Linked DNA regions of Daphnia pulex. The protein of the gene in region 1 purifies or fractionates together with the protein of each later gene. This does not show direct contact. Links are inferred from orthologs where the notes say so. Each region holds a gene or a part of one and is shown in the gene's direction. Other genes may lie near its edges.

Region 1 (7,768 bases):
TCGATTGTTTCTCAAGCGCGGGCACGTCGAGACGGCGCGCCATTGCCAAGAGAGATATTCTTTCGACCGAATCTTGATTATTACCCAAAGAATAAACAGCAACTTGTGAGATAATAAAAGAATAGGGCATCTCCGTTCGGGAAACGACAGACACACACACACACGTGAAAAAGAAAAACATGGCAAGATCAAAGAGGAGGAGCTGGAGCCTCAGAGGAAAGGGGGGCGTGACGTCGCTTCACACGTCAGCTAACGCCAGAGGGCAACAGGTCATCGCTACGCCCCAGGTAAGACGCAACGTGTTACACGCTCCGAGACCCAACCTAGCCCACATTCCAATCTTTTTTAACCTTTTGCTTCCTCAACTAAAATTACCCGATACATTCTTAGAAAGTTTCCTTGATTCGACCAAATCGAGTTGGCCACGGTCAAATGTTAAGCAGGAATTAAAATATAAGAGACCCGATCACCTTGTCGATTTCATTGGCCACCGGAGCGATCGGATGGGTTACGGCCGATTCGAGCGGATCGTGCGGAAGAGCAGAATGGGCGTTGCCCATGTTTTGGTTTTTTTTTAAATTAAGATTTGGTGGTGCAATGTGTGCAAAATAAAATGTAAAAGAGTTTTTTGTTGGATATTTTGTAGATGAACGAAAAACTAGATGTGCATCAAGATCCGTGCGAATTAAATTCGTGCGTCGTCACACGGCCGGTTTCCATTACGCCGGCACCGGCGACCCGTAAAGTCAGAAAATAAGAGATATCCGCCCAGTTGCCATTCCGGTAAAACAGAAAGACGAGCAAATATTTCCGTCTTATTTCTTTGGGTTGCACAAACGATTCCGCACGTGCAAACACACGTCACACACAGTAGTCACAATCTAGTTCACTCTTAAAAAAGATCACACTCGGCCGTAAAACACAGAAACGAAATGGCGTAAAACGGACGCAAAACGTCTGTCCAGTTGAATCACGTCGGGAGGGAAATCGATGAGAACGACCGCGAAGCTGCTGGAGGAGCAGACTATAACAACAAGCGAACGTTCCCCAGCAAGGCGGACCATCAAAATGGCGCCCGTGACGTGAGAAACCCAAGCAAACTACTGCCAAAGAGTGGAATGTAGTCCCGACCAGGTATATAGACGCATGCGACCGTGGTTGGCTCCCTTCGTGTTGCCATAGGTATGTAACATGAGGCTTTGGCCTTCATGCTTGTTCAGCTCGAGGCCATCTTTGAACTCCCTCCTTCTTTTCTGTCTTTTCTTCTACCTTTTTACTGACTTATTTCTCTCTTCTTTCCAGCTAGACAAAAAAGGTAGCAGCCGATTCCTACAGTCTCGGGGTTAGCATCGAAAATAATAATAACAAGAGATGGGCTTCATCGAAATTGTTTTTTCCCGATGATGGCATCTATGGTGACGGATCACATCTCGTACGGGGGTTATTGCATACATGAATATGAATGGACCCGCAACAGAGGAGGTGAACGAACCACATGAGAGAGCCCTACGTCGTTGAAGGACACTTTGCTTTTATCAGTTAGTCCTGTGATACGTCCGGCAAACATCAACGTGATGTGGCCATCACTTTCTCTTTCATGTCATAGAAACCAACACGATATCAATGCAGGGCAAGGTAGATTACGTTCATGATTTACCTTTGTTCAAAGCCAGCCAAGGGTCGAATCAATAAATGAAGTTACCTCGTCTGCAAATGATATATCGATAAGCATGTCAGCAGACGGTTAGAGGACAAGGGTTGCTTAATAATCTACTGATAATAAATATACTACTACTAGCTGCAGCACACACACACACAATCTTCAAAGTGGGAAAAGCAACCAAATTGGTTAGTTTCTTGGCCTTGCGGTTGCACTGACCCTGGATCAACAATGCCCTATGGCGAAAAAGGCCGACTCTTTCACTCATCGTCAAAAAAAAGAAAAAATAAAACCGTAAACGTATATGAGAGACAAGGAGAGAAAAAGAAACGGTAATGGCTTCGTGGAAAGAATGTCAACGTGTATACGTAATGGCGTGAGAGTCTGAGAGAGACCTAGTGAAGTTGCTACACGGCCTGTGTGATGAAAGTCTCTTATCGATCCGGCTCACAGGCACATCTCACATCAGGGTTGTTGATAATGAAACTGATTTCTCTTTTAGCTTCTACCAACGTTTGATCGGTTCACCGACACCAAAAAATCTCAAGAGGGGTGAAATGGCCACACGCAACGTTTCTCATCAGATTTTACGAAAATGTGATTGTCGATGAGAATTTTCCCATCGAAAAACGATAATATCAAATAGGCTGGAAAAAACAATCTACAAAAGGTATGTACAAACGTAAAGGGGAGAGAACAAATGCCGTCGGTTTCACTTGATGCTGTAGACCTCTGGGCAGAGAGAAAACCAACCAAGACTGCCTTGAATGAGAAACTGAAAACAAGCCCCGACGAAAAGCCTGTCAACACACACCAAAACAGAATCGGCCAAACTTACCGGCCTCGCGATGAACTGGACGATCTCAATGAAAACAATACGTTCACAAACTAACTAATCACACCACTCCCACCGCTTTAGCAATACTCTCAGAGCACTTCGGTTTAAGAAACCGTTTTGACTGCAACTGCATCTCTCTCAGTGTGCCACCACAAAAAAAAATCATTTAAGATTCATCAGACTGCCATCTGGTGTTGATAGTGTGCACAAGCCTTTATTAAAAATTTAGGGCGCGTCGTGAACGCCATCTGCTGGTTTTCTGTGGTACCTCAATGAATATACGATTTGATCATGGCTTTTAGATTCGGCTTCATTTGGTCGTCGTTTACTCGCTTCACCCGTTTGGTTCTCTAACAAACTTGTTTTGCTATCGTGTTTCTTTCAAGGCAGTTTTAAATTAACGTAAAACTTCATCGTGTTTTACTTGGACGCGTCTATTTTGTCTATTGATTTGAAACACCCTTTTGATTGTGTGATTATTCTTTAGAAACAGAAAGTTATTTAGTTGAATTTGACATGGATCATCACATGCCGCCCGGCTACGGCCAGGAGAATTACATGTATGGAGATCCTTCAAGGTCCTTCCAGGGTAATGCTGTCGGTATGTATGGATCAGGTGCTAGACCGATGTCACCTCCTCCAGGTGATGAAGACATTCCCGCCCATGAACATCTCCCATCAGCACTTGAAGAAGTCCTTGCTTACAAAGAATACCGAGTACGAGAAACGGGCCACTCTGGAGAGGTTGATAACATTAGTGAGTAACACTTTTATAAATTTTCTAGTCTTCATGAAAGGTTTCGCTTGCAGGAATGAACTTTATTCTTTTCTATTTTTTTTTTAGTTAATGAAATCCCTGTCAAAACAGTTATAGAAACTGAAGGAACTATTGAAGAGAGGAAAGATGATTTCGGTGGGGAAGAAAACCTTGAAGAAAAAACTAAAACTCAAAGAAATCAAAAGAAGAAAAAGAAGAAGAAGCGCACTAAGAGACATCAACAGAAAGAAGAAGAAGAAGAAAATGAAAGGAATGATGATGCTGAAGAACCTCCACAAGTGGATATTGAGTATGTCCAGGAAGAAATCATTTATGACGACAAAAATCCTTTCTACCGACAGTTTGCCAAAATCTTCGAAGCATTTAAAATCATTGATGAAAAAACTGCAAAGAAAGCTGAAGAAGATGAAGCCAAAAAGAAAGAACTTCAAAGAAGTTTAGAACTTAAGAAGGTCCCCAAGTTTGCAGAAGAGGAAGATTTGGAGGAGAAAAAGGAAAATGCTGATGATGACAAGCCAAAAGTTTCAAAAAGAAAACTAAAACAACTTACTCGACTAAGTGTGGCCGATTTGAAGCAATGTGTTGCCAGACCAGACGTCGTAGAGATGCACGACGTTACTGCTAGAGACCCCAAACTGTTAGTTCTTTTGAAAGCAACCAGAAATTCGGTCCCAGTTCCTCGACATTGGTGTGCGAAGCGCAAGTACTTACAGGTATATTTTACTATGCACAAAGGGTAAACAATTCGTTTTAAACAAATTTTTTTGTACTTTAGGGAAAACGTGGAATAGAAAAGCCTCCTTTCAATTTGCCCGATTTCATCAAAAAGACCGGAATCATGGAAATGCGAGCTGCTTTGCAGGAAAAGGAAGAGTCAAAAACACTTAAAGCTAAAATGCGTGAGCGTGTTCGACCCAAGATGGGGCGTGTTGATATCGACTATCAAAAGTTGCATGACGCTTTCTTCAAATGGCAAACCAAACCCAAGATGACGATTATGGGTGATTTATACTATGAAGGAAAAGAATTTGAAACTCGAATGAAAGACAAAAAACCCGGAGAGTTGTCTGACGAACTGCGAACTGCTCTCGGAATGCCTGTTGGTCCTAGTTCAAACAAGTAAGAATCTATTCTTAATTTGACACCGTTTTGTGTTACAGTAGTTAATGTTAATGGCGTTTTCTTTAAGAATTCCTCCTCCTTGGTTGATTGCCATGCAAAGATATGGTCCACCACCGTCTTACCCTAACTTGAAGATTCCAGGATTGAACGCTCCAATTCCTGATGGTTCTTCCTTTGGCTACCATGCCGGAGGTTGGGGAAAACCTCCTGTCGATGAATTCGGGCGGCCTCTGTACGGCGATGTTTTTGGATTGACTGGAATCGCAGGCGATGTAAGAAAATATCTCATACTCTGTGTATAACAAATTCTATTAACCACGAATACTTTTGCCTCTTTTTCAGACAATTTTACTCGACGAAGAAGTTGATCGTACCTTGTGGGGTGAACTTGAATCGGAAGAAGAGGAGGAGGAAGTTGAGGAGAGTGAAGAGGAAGAAGGAGAGGACGAAGAAGGCGCCATTGATCAATCAGGTCTGGTTACTCCTGCAGAAGGACTTGCTACTCCTTCGGGATTCTCATCTGTACCTGCTGGTCTGGAAACACCAGATATGATTGAGCTACGAAAGAAAAAGATTGAAGCAGAGATGGAGAGGTATGTAACCAGTGTCAACTACTATACAACTGCTACTTTACATTTTTAATTATTCCTATTTTCACTCTTATTTAGTAACGAAACGCCTCAGCTGTATACCGTCCTTCCAGAAAAGCGAACGGACAGAATCGGTCAAGCGATGATGGGATCTACCCATGTATATGATATCGCTTCAGCTACGACCACTCAGAAGAGTAAGATTTGTCATTTTTTAGTTAATTTGTTGTTATTATGATTTTTCAATTAAATTTTTCATAGGTAGTGGTGGTGTGGAACTTAGTTTGGATCCCTCCGAGTTGGAAGGTTTGGACTCTGAATCAATGGCCGCTCGTTATGAACAAACATTGCGGGAGCAACAAGGCAACTTGGCTAAGGAAGATTTCAGTGACATGGTGGCTGAACATGCCGCCAAGCAGAAGGTAAGTCGTAAATCCAAATCAGTGATTATTAACTTGATTAATAAAATGTTTTCGTAATTGCAAAAACAGAGCAAGAGAAAGAGACAACAACAACAGACGGACACTAAACAGGCCAAGAAATACAAAGAGTTCAAATTTTAACATCCCTTTTGAAGCATTAAAAATCTTGTAATACACGCTCCGTTGTAATAAACAATTTGTTCTTAATTGTGTTTTTGAAACTATTTTTATTAGATACCGCCACATATCTCCTCCACACACAAAAGAAGAAATTCCGGTACAGCATGTTTGTATTAACTATATAGCATTAAACTACAGAATAGGTTATTTTATTTCCTTATTATGTTTGGTATGTTGCAACAGAATCGTCAAGAATTGCAGCAGTCATCGTGCTTTTGGAAGGTAAAAAAACGAAACACATGCTGATGGAAAGTCGTATAAAATATTATTAGCCAGTATTGCACTCTAACCTTGATTTCGTCTAATGACTAGTATTATAACAGGTTGCACAAGGTATCTAATTTGACTGATGATTCCAATTCAACGGCGAAGTTTCCTCGTATGAGCAAGAAAATTGGGCTGCTCCTATGGCCGAATGCTTGAACGGTTGATCAACATCCTGCATGCTAACGATCCCAGATCCTGAGGCACCCAAATCAACGTTCTGATGTTGACTGTGTCTTAATAACAAAGATGAGAAATCGTAACTACTGCTTGTTGTAGGACGGATATCGCTCGATGTTGAAGCTCCATTAGAAGAAGTAGATAACAACCCCATAGAACGCCAGGATGGTAAGGGATCCAGAGAAAAGTTGGTTGCTTCAAAATCAACTGTACTACCAGGAGGAGACGCCAATAAGAATTGCAAATGACGAATGTATTTGATAGCCAACCTGAAAAAAAAGGAAAAAGGTTAATCCAGGTTTTAAGCGAATGTTTATTGCTCATAAACGATTAAGCCAAAACAACCTGAGGGATTCGATTTTCGACAATTTTTTCCCTGGTGGTTTGATGTACGGTAATTTTTCACGTAGAGAATCGAATGCTCGATTCATATCTCGCATACGCGTCCGTTCCCGATCGCATGCCGATTTCTTGTAATCTAATAGCAAAATGAAAAATAATTTAATAGCTTGAATTTATTTAGACTATAGACGATGGGCCTTCAGACCTTTTTCATACTGAGCTCTGCTGCTATTGGAACCTCTCCAACAACGACTGGGATTTGGATAACGCTCAATGCTGACGGCATGTTGAAGTAGTTCTTCATTTTCAAAATCTGCTGCCATGAAAACGTCTCCTTCTTGCACTTGACCCAATCTGAGTCCAGTTGATCCTGGCATGCTGGTACGATCCGCTATAACGCTCCCGCGGGCTGAACAGCCTTCTGGAACCCAAATTCGTCGATTATTGGTATCTAGGTGGTAAAGCGGGTTAGATCCAGGTATCGACAAAGATTTGAACGGATCTTCCATCAACATGAACGACGGGTGAGAATATTCCAAATGGGTGTTTTCTGTTGACATCATTGGAAAATGGCATGGTGAGCCAAGTTGCTGATGAGACGATGGAAGACCAAAATGAGCTTGAGCTTCTTCGTGAGCGTTGGACATCCAACACGACGGGTTGAAATTGAGCATGTTTGGGATAAGAGTTAGACTGTTAGCGCTTTCACCGGAGGTGTCCGGCACCTCACCATCGTAATGGGTGATGGTGGGCAGATTACAAGAGGCCAAAGTCACGTAACGTGTTGGTGATTGATGTTGGTCATCGAGATATGAATTTTCCAATTCTTCTTTATCTTCTATTAGAGATCCATTCTTGAAAAGTTCATTGTCTTCATTTACTTCCACGAAGTTAGAAGGCGGTTCCAACAAAAGATCTTTCCGAAGTTCCAAATTTCCTCTCGATTCCCTTTCGTCCTCTCTAAAAATAGCATCAGGTTTAAAGACGATGACACTGGTTTCTTTAATTTCATTAATAGAGTCCTCCGGAGACTGTGTCACTGATTGATCATAGTTGATTTCGTCCAGAACAGAAGATGGCATCGTCAAATCCTCTGCCTAATCAAAATTAATATTTTACATTGATGAAGTCTCTCACACACACGATTTTAATGCCATACCGTATCTGAATGAAAAATTGGTACCTCCACAACTTGACCATCTTTATGAAGCTCGATATTGAAATGCTCAGAAACTTGTCCGCTGGGAATCTGAATAACGCTTCCAGCCGATGCTGGAATCCAGTGAATTACCTCCACGGCTCCTTCTCGTTCTGTAGTCTTTGATGTGGAGACACCGTCGGTTTGACTATCTTCTGACAATGAATTACATTCCGCTCTCGTATCAACGATTT
Region 2 (7,768 bases), on another chromosome or scaffold:
GCAAAACTTCGGACGTTTACGTAGACACCGGGTAGACTTTGTTCGGCACATCCAATTCCCCAAGCGACGAGTCCAACGAGCTCAGCTCTTCCGTTCACCTCGCAGACCAAAGGTGAGCCGCCATCGCCCTAAACACAATAAAATCACGTAAGAAGGCTGTCGATATTTTATCGTTCAAAGTATCAATTATAATTACCGTGCAAGCGTCTTTTCCTTGTTCACCACCAGCACACACGAAACTTGATCGGCTTAGCTGGAAATGAGGACCAAGGCGAGTTCTTCGGAGACGCTGTTCGCAATCGTTGGCATCCAAAACTGGGACATCAACTTTCTTCAAGATATATTGGAAATTTCCTAATCAAATAACCAGAACATTTAAAAAATTTGAACTTTAACTGAATTTTAAAACTCAAAAAATTTACCTGGTGGTCCAAATGCGTCTTTGCCCCATCCGGTCACCCAACATCTGTTAGTTATTAAAAAATATCAAAATTAAAATCCATTTTTATCGAAGTCAGTTATCTTCAATAACTCTTCGTTACATACCTTCTGCCAACATAGTTGGCTTGGAAATTTGATGGGCAAACTGGGTTGATGTGAGGTGTTGAGGCCAAATTGACTGGCTGCTCTAAAGTCAAAACAGCGATGTCGTTCTGCAGGTTGGCACGGTTGAAAAATGGATTCACTTTGACGCGGGTTACGCCCAATTCGACGTATTTCAGAGGCTCGACATTAGCTTTAGCGTCCCATTCTCCTAGCCTAACCTTCAGGCCAGTTCCAGCACTATAAATTTTAGAAAAGAAAAGAGTCAGTCAGAATTTTAGCATATCAAATTTTAATCAAAATTCTTACCCAAAGTTAGCGACTTTGTGGGCGGCTGTAACAACGTGTCGAGGGCTGACCAACACACCACCTCCGACATAGTTGTTGTTTGGACCTAAAATAACAACCATCCTACAGGGAAAATAAACAATTAATCAACATTTTCTTTATAACATCATACTCCTTTGTAATTGAAGGAATGCTTTCTCACCATGGGAATTCGCCAAATTTAGCCTAAAGAGAAAAATAGTTATAGTTTTCAAATTTCTGATAAATCATTACTGATCAGTTATTACCTGAGTAGTGTCTAAATTGTATCCAGGAGTAGGGATAATATTTGATCGTCCGCAACTTCCTTGCACTGGGGCAGCAGGTGGAGCAACAGGGAATGGATTATTTGCGACGCAGCAATATTGGAATGAATTCTGGCAACGAACTCCAGCTGGCTAAAAATTGAACAGATTCTTACAATAACCGTTTTTATTCCTCTGTCTAGAATTTAATATTCTCGCTTACCTTATTGACGATGCGCACGTCGATGAGGCCGGCACCGTCCGTATTGACAGGTGGGATATTGTTAGGGGGAGGTTGCGAATGTCCAGGTATGGGTGGGGGAGGGAGTGGTCCGGAGCCAGGTGGTGGAAGAGGAATATTTCCCGGTGCAGGATTGGCGCATTTCCCTACAGGAACGCACAAGCACTGACCAGACTGTTTTCCAGAAACATCTTCTTCGGGAATGTAAGGATTGGGTTTTAGAGCTGGATCTTTCTTCTGTTCACCAATAGGAGCTGAACCGGGGACAGCTTCTAGATCTACAAATAAAAACATATTAAATTAGGCTTATAGAATTCGTACTATCTCATAAACGAAAAATGGGAAATCAAATTATTAATTTACTGAGATAGCCGGCGAGAAGACCTAGACGAGTGTGGACCAACTCATCGTCAGTACCCAACGCATCTACAGACGTGTTGGGTAAATCTACAGGAACTGGCTCTTCCTCTTCCCCAAATGAAATTTGTGGCTTGGCTACCACCGACGACACAAAGACAACGAATACTAACGCAGCACTTACTTTCATTCTGTCTAAATAAATGATTATGAAAATGTTGTTGTTAATAATTTTTAAAAAAGATATTTAGCACTTAAAGTTGTCTTACCTCGAGTTCAAGTTCTCTTAGAAGAAACTTGTTGAATGATCTGACTCTGGCTGTTGCTTTATATACTGGCTGATTTATCCTCCAGCACACACTGTTAACACAAGAGACCAGCTAGTTACCAACTCCTGGAACCAATAGAAACTGGTTTTTCAGTTGGAGGGTCACGTGACTTTGTCGGGATTTCCCAAGGTGAGTGTACACGTTATTTTTTTTCCCTCTCGGCTCATCAGGTGATTTAATTTAGGTTGTTCAACCATGTGTGCGGTTCACTTATAAAGCCTTTGTTATCATCAACCGGATGTGCCAATAGCTAAATGACGAGTCATTTCCATATGGCATTTGCTTTACTATTTGTTGTAGTTGCATTAGGCTGCATGCGTATATTTCGAATCAATATTATCGCTTTATAGTTTGAGGTTCTCCGGTTTCCCCTCATCCTTCCCCAGTTTTTTCCTCAAGGCTATTTTTTGGAGAGAAAGCAGTCAGTCAAGCTCAAGGTCTTTTTTAGCTTCTGCTAACACACCTTGGCACCGCAAACCCAAGTGTAGAGCCATCAACCGGTCATCAGCAAAAAAAAAAAATTTGGCGGAATTGTTTTAAATTTAAGTTTAAAAAAAAATTTTGGGAGAGAATATATGAGCAATAGAGCAAAATTGTTCGTTAATTGCAAGATTAGATAAGTTTTGGGTTACCTGAATGAGCTGTATGAATTTCGACACACAATAGTTAATTCGTTTTGTAATCAAAATTTCCCATTCATTTGACACGTGCATAGAAAAAAATGTCGTTCTTTTATTGTATTCAGGGATAATGGAAAGGGAAATTAGGATACACGATACATGCATATACTAGCCAAAACTGCAATGTAATATGGAAAAACCCAACGTCACTATCGAGTTGTACCCAAAATGAAAATTTCCCAAACTAGAAATAACAAAATAACGGAATGCTTTTGATGTTCTGTAAGCATGTATATTATATAAGTTGGAAAACCCTTTCATGTGGATCTGTTTTGTTTCGGCCGGGACTTAGGCCATGCACGGAAATTTACAATTAGTACAATTAACAGAACATAACGTTATATTTAACGAGGTATTAGTGAAAACTTCCGCTATTAAACAGTTATTGTGTAAAACAATGAAACTTTAGGGATAATGAGTATTAAATTAGGAAAAATTTTACGGTGATTCCATTATAATTTCTTCTGATTTTAAATTACCCTAGTAACAAAAAGTGGTGATGTTGAATATTTTTGGGACTTTCGCTATACAATAAATTGTGATTTCTTGTTCCTTTCTGTAATAATGTTTAAACGCAATTTTATGCAAGAATAATCAAGAAAGATTCGACAATGGAATACGACGATATTGGAGTCCATTCAATTTCACGGTGACATCAAACAATGGAATTTATCATCCCTGTAATAAGGCTGTAACAAATTTTACATGTTTTGGGGCCGATGGCTCGCGTGTTGCCCTCATGCGCATTTTCTTCTCCACCAGATTTGATCCTACTGACTGCCGGCCTCGCCTGTTACACAATGTAATAAACATTTGTGACAATTGGGTGCAGTTTTACGACATATACTACATGTTTTTTTCCTAACGCGAAAATCAACGAAATTTTAGTTGTCATATTCATATACTCATGACTCATGTTGGCGATGTGCCGATTGGCCGATCTGATTCTGTGTTATGTTATTCCTCGACCAAAAAAGAAAAATAATAATGATTGGCATCGCTGTTTTGGCCGATGCGAGCTGGAATCGGCTGAAATAGTATGAAGTGCTTGTGGGATGGATTGATCGAAATATAATTAAACCTTCTATGACGTGAAATTATAAGAAGATACTCAACTTCTTTTTAACATTCTTGCAACATTAGTGTATTGTGTCAAAATGGCCAAAAGAGGACTGTCTCGTAAAGAACTCGAAGAAATCAAGAAGCGCGAAGAAATTGAAGCTGCTGCTGAGGTGATACACATTTGTTTGGAGAAGCTGAACTTCAAATAATTCAATATTATTGTTCATTGGATTTATTATTAGGTATTTGAGGAGTTTGTAGCCACATTTCAAGAAGATGCCAGCAAAGTCAGTAAAGTTTGGGTCAAAGCGGGTACCTATGATGCTGGTCAAAGAAGTAACAGATTACACATTTAATGCTATAATATAGCCATTTTTCTTAATATTTTCATTTTAATTTGCAGAGGAAGATGCCAAAGATAAAGGCAAATTGTATAAACCAACATCTAAATTGGCGAGCTTAGCAGAATCTTTCTCCACAAGATCCAAGGCAAATGAATCTAAGGAATCTAAAGAATCAAAAGATAAAAGTTTACAAAAAAAGGAGAAGAAAAAGAGCAATCTTGAGATGTTCAAAGAGGAACTCAGAGTGTAAAACTAGATTATTCTCTTATTTAAAAAATAATGTTACAATTAAATTTTCTTACAGTATCCAAGAAGAAAGAGAGGAACGACACAAAGTTAAAGCTCACTTGAAACCAAGTCGCTTTGAGCCTGTCAATGTGAGTTCTCCAAGTACTAGCAAAAGCTCTCTTGCTCTTGGATCAATCTTGATAGGTATGTAAATTGTAATTGCATTTTGTAGCAAATTTGTCACACTTTTTTTGTTTCAGAAGAAAAGACAGGATCATTTGATGTAGGAGATCCCAATACCACTAACATTTATTTAGGCAATATCAACCCTAAGGCAAGTTTTAAATAAATCATGTTTTTATCAACTTTATTAACATAAATTTAATGTCCCTTGCAGATGACAGAACAACAATTGATGGACACATTTGGAAAATATGGACCTTTAGCCAGCGTAAAAATCATGTGGCCTCGAACTGAGGAAGAGAAAGCAAGGAATCGAAATTGCGGATTCGTAGCCTTTATGTGCCGAAAAGACGCAGAGAGAGCGATGAAAAAATTAAACGGTTTGACAGTTTATATTCCGTTTTTTGCATCGATGCATTTATATCAAATGTTTATTTTTCAACAGGTAAAGATATTCTGTCTTTTGAAATGAAACTCGGATGGGGGAAGGCCTTGCCAATTCCTGCTCGACCGATTTACATACCGCCAGCATTACTTGAAAAAACGCTTCCTCCACCACCAACCGGCTTGCCTTTTAATGCAATACCCTCCCCACAAGATATTGATCAGGTATGGCTGGTATGCAGTACCTTAGATGTTCTTTCAAACATAATTGAAATTAATATTTCCCTTGTCACAGATCCCGCCACCCGGAACACCCTACCCAACACACGGCGAGGCGTTGGAGAACTTCAACAAGGTATTGGGGGATGGGCTAAGCTATTTCAATCAACCCAGCAATATGACTGACACAAGACTCGAGACTTTTTATCCGCCTGTTCCGGCATTGTTACTCATGGTCGGCGGATAAAAAGAAGCGAGTGCTTTGTGTGCGGTCGCTTCGTTGGGAGGTCTCATCTTTTCTATTTGTGTTCTTCGGCGGAAAGCGATGAAACCCAGCCAAAAATTTGTTTTCATGCGTTGCATTCGTTTGGCTAGTGAAGACCGTTGTTCGTGTCTCACTGCTCTCATACTATTGTGTGTTTGGAAATATGTTGATGTTTCACCCGGGTTTGCTGCTTCTCTCGCAGATTATATCCAGGGCTGTTGTCAAAGTGGTTATCCCTACAGACAGGTATGTAACAAAGATCAAGCCTCATAATACCTTGAAGCTGCGCGGCTGTGTGACATTACCCTGCTCCCTCCGAGCCCCAGGGAGTATACACGTTTTGTCACGAAGGAACAACACATTGTTCTTTTCATTCTTCCAATGCGACTATTCCTTAAGTCTTATTTAATTCCTTTGTAAACTTTTAACTAACACTCGGAATGCTTGACCAAAAAAAAAAAGAAAGAAATTTTGCTTTTTCAATTGACCCACTTCTTTTAAATCATCGAACAAAATTTTTTAAGTCGGTAGCTAATCTTAACATTTTCATTTTTATCACCACGTAAATCTGTACGATTGACATTTGTGCGTGTCATACGTATGTTGAACTTGGTTTTCTGGAACTGGCGTACACAGAAATTTGTTGTGTTTGATTCATCGAATGATCGAATCTGTTGTTCGAGAGGGCCCAATGCTTGAGGCCATGGTGATGAACAAGGAAATTGATAACCAGCAATTCAGGTACCTAAATTGTCTTTTCTAAAAATGTTGTTGGATAGTAATTATTATTTCTTTTTTACTTTTGCAATCAGGTTTCTATTTGAAAACCGGAGTCCAGCTCACATTTACTATCGCTGGAAATTGTTCTCAATCCTACAAGGCGAGTCTGGTAATGTGTGGTCCACAGAAGACTTTCGCATGTTTAAAGGTAAAATTTCTTTTTATTCTGTAAATTATCCAGCGCTCATTTTTAAAAATTAATAGGCGGTTCCATCTGGAAACCCCCGTCTATGAACCCGTTTTCTGAGGGCATGCCAGACGAACTTTTCTCGTCCGACGAGGAAGATGATGAGAGTCGCCGACGATCGCTCAGCAAATCGTATTTACTACAATTATTTTTTCTAATTCATTAAGCAATTCTAATTTACGTTCAAATCCATAGTCAAAAGAAACGACTAGAATTGATGTTGAGAAAATTGACTCCTGAAAAATCCAAAGTAGCGGAAGCTATGATTTTTTGCATCGAGCACGCCGAAGCTTACGAGGAAATCATCGATTTCGTTACCGAGTCACTCAATAGTGTCAAAACCTATATTCCTCAAAAGGTAATTTAAGTCGTGACTTCCAAGTTGGAAGAAACCTACTTAATTTAATCTTGTTTTTGTTTTTTTCAGTTGGGAAGATTTTTTTTGGTATCAGACGTCCTTTACAACTCGTCTGCAAAGGCGGTCAATGCTTCCAGTTTCCGTTCGGGATTCCAGTCACACATGGTGGAAATAGTCAATTATATGCATCAAGCGTACGAGGCGACCGAGAGCCGATTGAAAGCCGAAGCTTTTCGACAACGAGTTATGCTCTGCTTTCGAGCTTGGGAAGAATGGAATGTCTATCCAGCCGAATTCCTCATTCATTTGCAAAATGTCTTTCTGGGCCTTGTCTCTGTAAGTTTTTTTTTTTTTCTATTTTTAAATCTTTCCAACACTTCATTAATTATTTTGATTTCTTTAAAGGCCGATCAAGATGTTTCTCAACGGACTTCAGGCAACGTTGAAGACGTCGACGGCATTCCACTTGACGATGCAGAAGCAATCGACGGAGCTCCACTCAGTGATTCCGAAGATTTGGATGGTTTATTTCAAATACAAGTTTTTGAAGTACAAGTAATTTAATAATTTTTTCTTTTTTCAGGTGTACCTTTGGACGGTGCGGCTCTTTTGAGGAGTGCAGTCAAACTCCAAACTAGTTCTCCAGCTCGTTCATTTACAGTTACGAAATCAAACAAATATGACGCTGATTTTGATGGAGTGCCTAGTAAAATTGATTTTTATAATAATTAATTAATTCACCTATTAAAATTTTTATAAATGTTATTAGTGTCTGAAGATTTGGACGGAGTCCCGATAAAAAGCTCGTCTTCACCGGTAGTGCGAAGAGACCGGAGACGTGAAACTAAGTCATCATCAACTTCCAAATGGGAAACACCGGCGCCGGTTGTAGCCACTAGCAAGTGGGACAATATCGACCCCGATTCAGAGTCAAATGAGCCGTCAAGAAAAAAGAGTAGAGCCAAACATAATGAGGACATCTTTGCGGATCTGGAGAGCACTAAACAAAGAGGAGCTGCTTCAGATGAAGATCTCG
Region 3 (6,865 bases), on another chromosome or scaffold:
TGGACTTCAATTTAAACTTAATGCTAATTTACTGAAGTTGTGTTATTACAAGTAGACCTTGCCATTTCAGATTTCCTTCCGTTTTCTTCACATTTTCATCTCGCAACATTATAGACCCCTCATCAAAGGCATAATCACAGAGGCTGCTTGGTTGACTTGGCCCTGCACGTTGAGAACAATTTCCACTAACCTGTTACAAAAATAAATTAGATAAGTAAAATAAAATTATGATTATCGTGCATGTCTTCGCAGGTTGAATTCAAGTTAATCTCTTAATTGAAAAAAATCACAAAACAATCGCAGGAAAAGCAAATGATGTGTAACTATTTATTACTAATGTATGATGATTCATAATAAAAATTCTCAATTTCTATTAGAAATTAAATCCCAGAATTTTAATGTGGAAACACACTCTTAAAATTATTTTTAAGTTACTCAATATTATTACTTGTACTATTCTATAGTACTTCAACATGCGACGAAACGTGTAACGTGCAGCAAGAGACGACATTTTGGACAAGTGTACTACAGGCATGGCCACATGGAATTGGCAAGAATAAATTTAAAGCCATGCAACCCGTAAATTAACATTAATAAAAAACATTAATATTAAGAATGAAACCAGGAATTACCTTGTTGTGAACACATCAGGAAAGAGAGTACCCCGCAATGATTAGCGTAACCATCCTCGACGGCGTCTCGATAGAAAAGAAATAAATGGAAGTCAGTCGTCTCAGAACTTTGGTTTGATGCCCCCTCCCCTCCCCTAATACCAACACACTAGGGCTGAATAGTTCAATCCCTAAACACACTGAAATATTTAGCCACCTAGTGACAGCACTTGGCATCCACGGACGCGGACGACTAGAGTCGGACGGAAAAAATAACCATCCCGTAACCATCTCCGTAAAATACATTTAGTAGATAAAAATTAGCAACGACTCTACCCCTTTTTCCTCGATGGTCGACTATTGAGTAGAAATTGTGATTTGTTAGTTGGGGTCGGTAGTCACAGGATTTCCTTCTATTACTACCGGGACGGTGGCATCAGGAGTGGCAGATGCAATTTGGATTAGTGCTAGCCTTGCTCAACACGAGGTTTTTTTTTTCTTCTGACACCTCGCTCACCGATAGGCTGCTCGTTTTCGATGGGACGAAGCCTCCGCTTTTGGTATCTTCCTCAAGTTTGGGGAAAACGGTTTTCGTCTGGAATTACACATAACTGTAATAAGGTGTTCTTTAAAAAACTGGAAATAAACTGAAGGTGCACAAATTCAATACGTTCAGAATCCATCGAAGACATAATAACCAAAGAATAAACATACAAACGACTTTGAATGAAAGTGGCTTAAATCTTAAATGGTATCCATCCTTGAGTTTATTGTTATCTTTTTTGTTTTTAAGAGAATTTCCATTCGGCGCTTGATTTGAACATAACTTTAGCGGGTTATTTCTTGACACAGTAATGACAGCAGTATGATTAATACAATGTTTTATATGAGGTACCAGTCCACTTAAGATTAATAAAGATTCATTAATCTTTAGTCTTTATCCTGTCGACTTTTTTCTTGGTAACAATAATAGACAGTTATTACAGGGATTGGAATTTGGTTCTATTCCAGCACATCTTGACGAGCGCAGCACTTGACCATCTTGATATCCAAGCGAAAACGGAGATATCTTCTGGCCAGTAAATTGAGAAACAGGCAAACCAGGGCACAACTTAGTTTCTCCGTAGCATCGAAGCAACTCTGATAGTTCGGATTCTGACGAAAATGTCGTATTCAATGAGTCGAGACCCAGAAATGCACCAAATAGGGAGTAACACGCGACACCAGTGAGTAAATCAATTTCTACACTTCTTCGAATATGAACTTTCCCAGCAATATACACATTCTCAGCACAGATCATGTTAGTTGTCGAAGGACGGTTTGGTATTTCAACTTGAATCCACGCCCAGGATAAAGAAGGAAGTCGCACTTCTCTTATGTTTACATGAATATCCTGTGATCGCTCCTGAACTTGATTCGAGTTCAATTCAATTTCATTACTGGGAATATCCTCTTCTTTCTCCATTAATGGCTGAGGTAAACTACGCACTACTGGTGTGTTAGATCTGATTAGACTGGCGAATGATGGACGGTCATTCGTTGGATTCATTTCAACTGATATATAGTTTAAGATAACTTCTTCTTGGTCAGTATCACTTACATCAATCGATTTTGAAGAGAAGTTGTTCAAGGATTCAGACGGCAATTCTTCGCGAGCTACGGTTGAGTGTTCCTCTTCACTAGAAATTTTCTTTTTGTTGAAATAGGTGTTGGTAAGGGGTGGGAATTGAAAAGGCAACAGTAATGATATTGTGTTGTCATTAACCAGGTTTAGATGGGAATTAGAACCATTCATTTCTGCTTCTTGTGTGACTGATACTTGCTGGATCACAGAATCATGAGATAGTTTTGTTGATTTTACTGAGGGTTTGCTTCTATCCTTGGGAGGTTTTCTCTTCTTAGGTGATTTGTTTAAGTTACTTGGGCATCCTAAAAAAAAGAAAAAGTTAACTACCACAAGAAAGCATCACTTTGCTATCAAATACCTGGAAAAATTCGAGGAAGTGCATTTTGTTTCAACCTCCAATTAAGCATCGGGAGAAAAACTTCTTTGTCTTCAATGATAAACTTATTTGCTTTGTGAATGTCATGTTCTTCAAAATGTATTGAACACACTTTATCTGTTGGATTCAGGGTGCCTTTTCTTGGAATCATCCTTGCCCACATTTCACGCTGAATGTCATTTTTAGGAGCTGTAAACATGGCTCGTCTGATTAACTTTCCATTTTTAACATGACCAGTATCACAGTATGGCACACAGCAGTTAGCTGGCATTTTAGTGCACTTGTGCAAAAAGAATCAACATAAAGGATTTTGTTACTACCTGATAGGTAAATCAGAGAAAATTATTTCAGAATATTCAGATAAGGGCAGTGCCGAGGAACGAAATGCATACCTTTTTCACTATTTGACTGGTCTTTAGAACCTAAAATCTTGAGAACAAGTTTTTTCACTTTGATTCGTGAAGTAAGTAAAAAAAAAATATTTCTCGTTCAAGCAAATACAAACAAAACACGTGCCGTTGTCATTCCACCATGACAACAACAGAGATGGAAACGTCTGACAACTGTCGTCATTTGACTTGCGACCGAAGCGCACCGAACGGTTACCGTTTGTCGGGTTTAATATTATAAAATTGATTTCACTTAATTCGTATTTTTGTATAATATTATAGTATCTTGTTAGTAGATTTAAATTTTCTAATATCGCAAAGGCCTGAAAGAATTTAAAAAATAAATCAGTCTCATCCGTTTGATGTAGCGCATTTGGTGACTAGAGCATTTCTAAACTTTGGCATTGGTACTTGGTAGTGGCCTTCCCATCCCCTTAAAATCGTTTGACAGATTAATTTAGTTTGGTTCCGTTTCATTAGTTAGTTTAATAAAATTTTGTTTACAAAGATTTGTCTTTTGAATGGCTGGAATAGACAGCCAATCTTCGGTCGGCAGTATGAATAGCGATTTAGATCACAGTAAAGTGGAACATTGCTTTCAGGAGTTTTACACAGAGGTAAACAATCTAGCATGGTTTTTCATTATGTATATTTAGTAGGATAAACTTGTGGAATATTCCATAACTTTTGGTTCATTTTATTTGATTGCAGGTCAAACAAATTGAAAAACGTGACTCTGTTCTGACTTCAAAGCAGCAAATTGATCGATTGCTAAGAGCTGGTTCATCATACTTTAATCTCAACCCTTATGAAGTGCTTCAAATTGACCATGAACTTCCTGTAGAAGAAATTAAAAAGAAATACAAGAGGGTTGGTACACATTTTCCAATGAATTGCTATGAAATTTCTGTTTCTGATCTTGTTTTTGGAATGACCCAGCTATCCATTTTAGTTCACCCTGATAAAAACAGTGATGATGCAGATCGTGCACAACAAGCCTTTGAAGGTAAATACAACCTTAACATTAAATTGTAAATTAAAAATACAAACAACATAAATTCTTTCCATGTAGTTATCAACCGAGCCTGGAAAATTCTAGAAAATGATAAAACCAGAAAACGTTGCTTGGAGATTGTTGAGGAAGCCACTGGAATGACTGATCTTGCAGTAATTATCTACTTTCAATTATCTAATCAAATTTACATGTTATTCAATTTGTCTATTTTAAATTAGATTTCCGAGAAAAGGAAAAAACTGAAGAAAGAAGGAAAGGATACACGAATTGATGAAGATGACCCAGTCAAGTATGAACTATTTTTCTGTTTTGCTTTGGGTTTTAGGTTATCCACTTACTTTATTATCCATTTCTAGATACCGCCGTGCGGTCTATGTGATGACGATCAAGCTCTTCGCTGACATGGAGCGAAAGCGAAGAGAATTGGAGCAACGCGATATGGAGGAAAGGAAGCGCAAGAGGGAAACTGAAATTGAGGCAGAAGAGAAGGCCAAGGTGGACAAAGAATGGCAAAAGAACTTCGAAGAATCGCGCCAAGGGCGAGTGAGCAGCTGGCAAAAATTTCAACACAAGAAAACCAAAACGTCCAAGGGATTTTTCAAACCTCCTAAAAATAAGATGGAGCAACGTTAAAACGTTGGATTCTCGCGCACTTTTCTAAAAATTGTCTAATTCGTACGACCGAAGATAAAAACAAACTAATATGACTTACTTTGCACTGAAAGAAATCTTCTCAAAAAAGATCAATAAAATGTAAAATGACATCAAAGATCTATCAATGGAATTGCACAAATTTACATAAATATATTCTGAGAAAAAAAAAACAAATTCATCACCATCACAGAGCGCACGTCGGGATAAAGGGCACAAAAGTTTTTTCTAGTTGAGGGTGAGGGAACTGAAGGGGCGAAAACATCAGTTAGAAGAGAGAATAAATTCTCCATTAGGAAGTAGAAATGTAAATGTCATAGCAAAAACGGATGGAAGTTGAAGATATTGCAAATGGCACGACCACATGTTCGCATCATTATGTACAACAAGAACAGGCTTGAATATTAAGGAAAAACAGCTCGCGACGTTGCATAGCCAATTCACTCGTTATTCGTTTTAGTTGTGTGTGACGAATGCTGAGGCTGTTTTTCATTTTCTAATTTAAGGCTTCGGAATAATGGACGCGGAATGCAGTCTAGTCTTTTCACATTATTTGCGAATGGAATGTTTCGCACGGGGGAATATTTCAATCGTCGTTTCTTCTAAAGCCTAATTTTGTCATGTCCACTTATTTCGGCGTGACGGAGTTGGGAGGGGTTAACTCTTCGTGGACTGGATATGTTTTGCTTCGATGTACCCGTAGCGTCGCCGTTTCACTCGCCAGATGGACGCTCCATCGCTGTGCGCAGGGGCACGGAACCCTCCACCCAAAGTCCGGCTCGTTCAACGACACTCTGCCAGAGCGTCACTTCTTTGCCGCTAGCGTCCATCCACTCGACCGGTTTTCCTTGGAACAAACCTAAAAGAAATTGCAACATTATTATTATTTTAGTAAAAAAAAAAAAACCTAAGGCGACTGAGAAAGTTTTATCCAAATTTCTCACCGGTGCCAAGGTTGAGTCGGAGTCCGCCGAGAAACTCTTTTGTAGCCAACCGGTCGTGATTCCAAATATCCAATTCCAGGGCACGTTCTTTCAGTTCCTGATGAGCAACATCATCGAAAATGAAAGTGCAATTCCAAACGGGGTTCGATGTCCTACGGCAAATGCTTGTCTTGTGTTTGGTCGTTTTACCCTTTTCGGGCATCAGGGTCCTAAAAAGAACAATTACATTGGGATTATAGACCAGCCTTTTCCGTTTCCCACTTCATTATCAGATTCTCACCCTTTACACAATGCGTCAATGTTTCCGTTGGGCCTGGCGGGGATGAGGCCCTTGGCCTCTTTAACAATTACGTGTAGAGCTCCTTTAGATTTCTTGGTCCTTTTGGTGGGAGAGGATTCACCGGGAATGTACTTGAGCGCAACAATCATGTCGCCGCGGTAGAACGGCATGACACCAGGATCCTCTACCATTTCAGACTGTACCAAAAGAATGTTCAATGAAAGATACTAGATCCAACAAAAGTTTCTTTAGATATGAATTACCCTTTCTTGAAGTTGATACCAATGGGGAGTTGGGTCGTCAAAAATTCGCCCGGCAAGTGGTAAAGTGATTTCACCGAGGAAATCGTTGCGACCAAACATGTCACTATGCCAGACAGTCAGCCATAGTGTTCGGTTCTCCAAATCGGAAAGAGAGGTGGTAAACTGAGAAAATACAATAAAAGGTTATTTAAATAGTCTGAAATACTTTAATAGCAGGCGAACTCTTACCTTTAAATTTTCTTCAAACATTGGTGATAGGGTGTGCTTTTTTACTTTGGTCTTTCTTTTACCGCTCTTGGAACGGTCAGGTAACAAATAAACTTTAGCATACCTATTCGATTAGAAAAACAGTTAAACGACAACTCGTGATAAGGGAACTTGATTGCTATTGTCATTACGGATCTGATCGGTTTCGTTTGGTGTCCACAGGTGCTAGGTCTTTGCACTGTTTGACGAAAACCTCTAGGGCAGTTTGGCGATAGTTGTAATGTAGGCCAAACTGAATCTCACCACGGACAGCTACTGTGCCGTAGCGGGCTTCGCCAGCAGCCGAGTAGACGCTGGCCATGGAATCGCTTCGAGTCTATATATATTGTGTTTAGAAATTTATCGAGATGTCAACGGCTGGTAATCAATATCAATGAGAAACTTACGCCAAGTGCGGACAGTGATGCACTGCGAGACTTGTTGTTGACTGTAGTAGCAGACA

Evidence for each region.
Region 2: the proteins of splicing factor 3B subunit 2-like (region 1) and U2 snRNP-associated SURP motif-containing protein-like purify together in Homo sapiens (affinity purification with mass spectrometry; 3 studies listed by BioGRID and IntAct, with this or other methods). This does not show direct contact. The link is inferred for Daphnia pulex from reciprocal best matches to the Homo sapiens genes SF3B2 and U2SURP.
Region 3: the proteins of splicing factor 3B subunit 2-like (region 1) and dnaJ homolog subfamily C member 8-like purify together in Homo sapiens (affinity purification with mass spectrometry; 3 studies listed by BioGRID and IntAct, with this or other methods). This does not show direct contact. The link is inferred for Daphnia pulex from reciprocal best matches to the Homo sapiens genes SF3B2 and DNAJC8.

What each region holds. Positions count from the first base shown.
Region 1 is NC_060020.1:5,123,544-5,131,311, forward strand, and holds splicing factor 3B subunit 2-like, read left to right. Parts: upstream 1-2,774; 5' UTR 2,775-3,014; coding exon 3,015-3,255; intron 3,256-3,342; coding exon 3,343-3,989; intron 3,990-4,051; coding exon 4,052-4,395; intron 4,396-4,465; coding exon 4,466-4,670; intron 4,671-4,740; coding exon 4,741-4,991; intron 4,992-5,066; coding exon 5,067-5,185; intron 5,186-5,249; coding exon 5,250-5,410; intron 5,411-5,479; coding exon 5,480-5,551; 3' UTR 5,552-5,617; downstream 5,618-7,768. Other genes in the region: protein numb-like, read right to left, coding at 471-560; uncharacterized protein LOC124192101, read right to left, coding at 5,928-6,303, 6,380-6,512, 6,582-7,473, 7,536-7,768. UniProt on the Homo sapiens protein: Component of the 17S U2 SnRNP complex of the spliceosome, a large ribonucleoprotein complex that removes introns from transcribed pre-mRNAs.
Region 2 is NC_060023.1:3,568,989-3,576,756, forward strand, and holds the start of U2 snRNP-associated SURP motif-containing protein-like, read left to right. Parts: upstream 1-3,719; 5' UTR 3,720-3,879; coding exon 3,880-3,954; intron 3,955-4,026; coding exon 4,027-4,120; intron 4,121-4,187; coding exon 4,188-4,374; intron 4,375-4,432; coding exon 4,433-4,560; intron 4,561-4,616; coding exon 4,617-4,690; intron 4,691-4,753; coding exon 4,754-4,919; intron 4,920-4,984; coding exon 4,985-5,148; intron 5,149-5,218; coding exon 5,219-5,278; intron 5,279-5,609; coding exon 5,610-5,653; intron 5,654-6,043; coding exon 6,044-6,148; intron 6,149-6,219; coding exon 6,220-6,335; intron 6,336-6,391; coding exon 6,392-6,506; intron 6,507-6,569; coding exon 6,570-6,732; intron 6,733-6,801; coding exon 6,802-7,068; intron 7,069-7,137; coding exon 7,138-7,255; intron 7,256-7,315; coding exon 7,316-7,438; intron 7,439-7,501; coding exon 7,502-7,768. Other genes in the region: phenoloxidase-activating factor 2-like, read right to left, coding at 1-128, 197-354, 423-466, 547-783, 853-954, 1,034-1,056, 1,119-1,268, 1,339-1,634 and 1 more.
Region 3 is NC_060019.1:13,009,709-13,016,573, reverse strand, and holds dnaJ homolog subfamily C member 8-like, read left to right. Parts: upstream 1-3,390; 5' UTR 3,391-3,524; coding exon 3,525-3,620; intron 3,621-3,714; coding exon 3,715-3,873; intron 3,874-3,942; coding exon 3,943-4,009; intron 4,010-4,075; coding exon 4,076-4,170; intron 4,171-4,236; coding exon 4,237-4,307; intron 4,308-4,374; coding exon 4,375-4,651; 3' UTR 4,652-4,782; downstream 4,783-6,865. Other genes in the region: uncharacterized protein LOC124190213, read right to left, coding at 1,549-2,540, 2,597-2,885; uncharacterized protein LOC124190211, read right to left, coding at 5,383-5,528, 5,614-5,822, 5,894-6,090, 6,157-6,318, 6,385-6,487, 6,555-6,739, 6,810-6,865. UniProt on the Homo sapiens protein: Suppresses polyglutamine (polyQ) aggregation of ATXN3 in neuronal cells.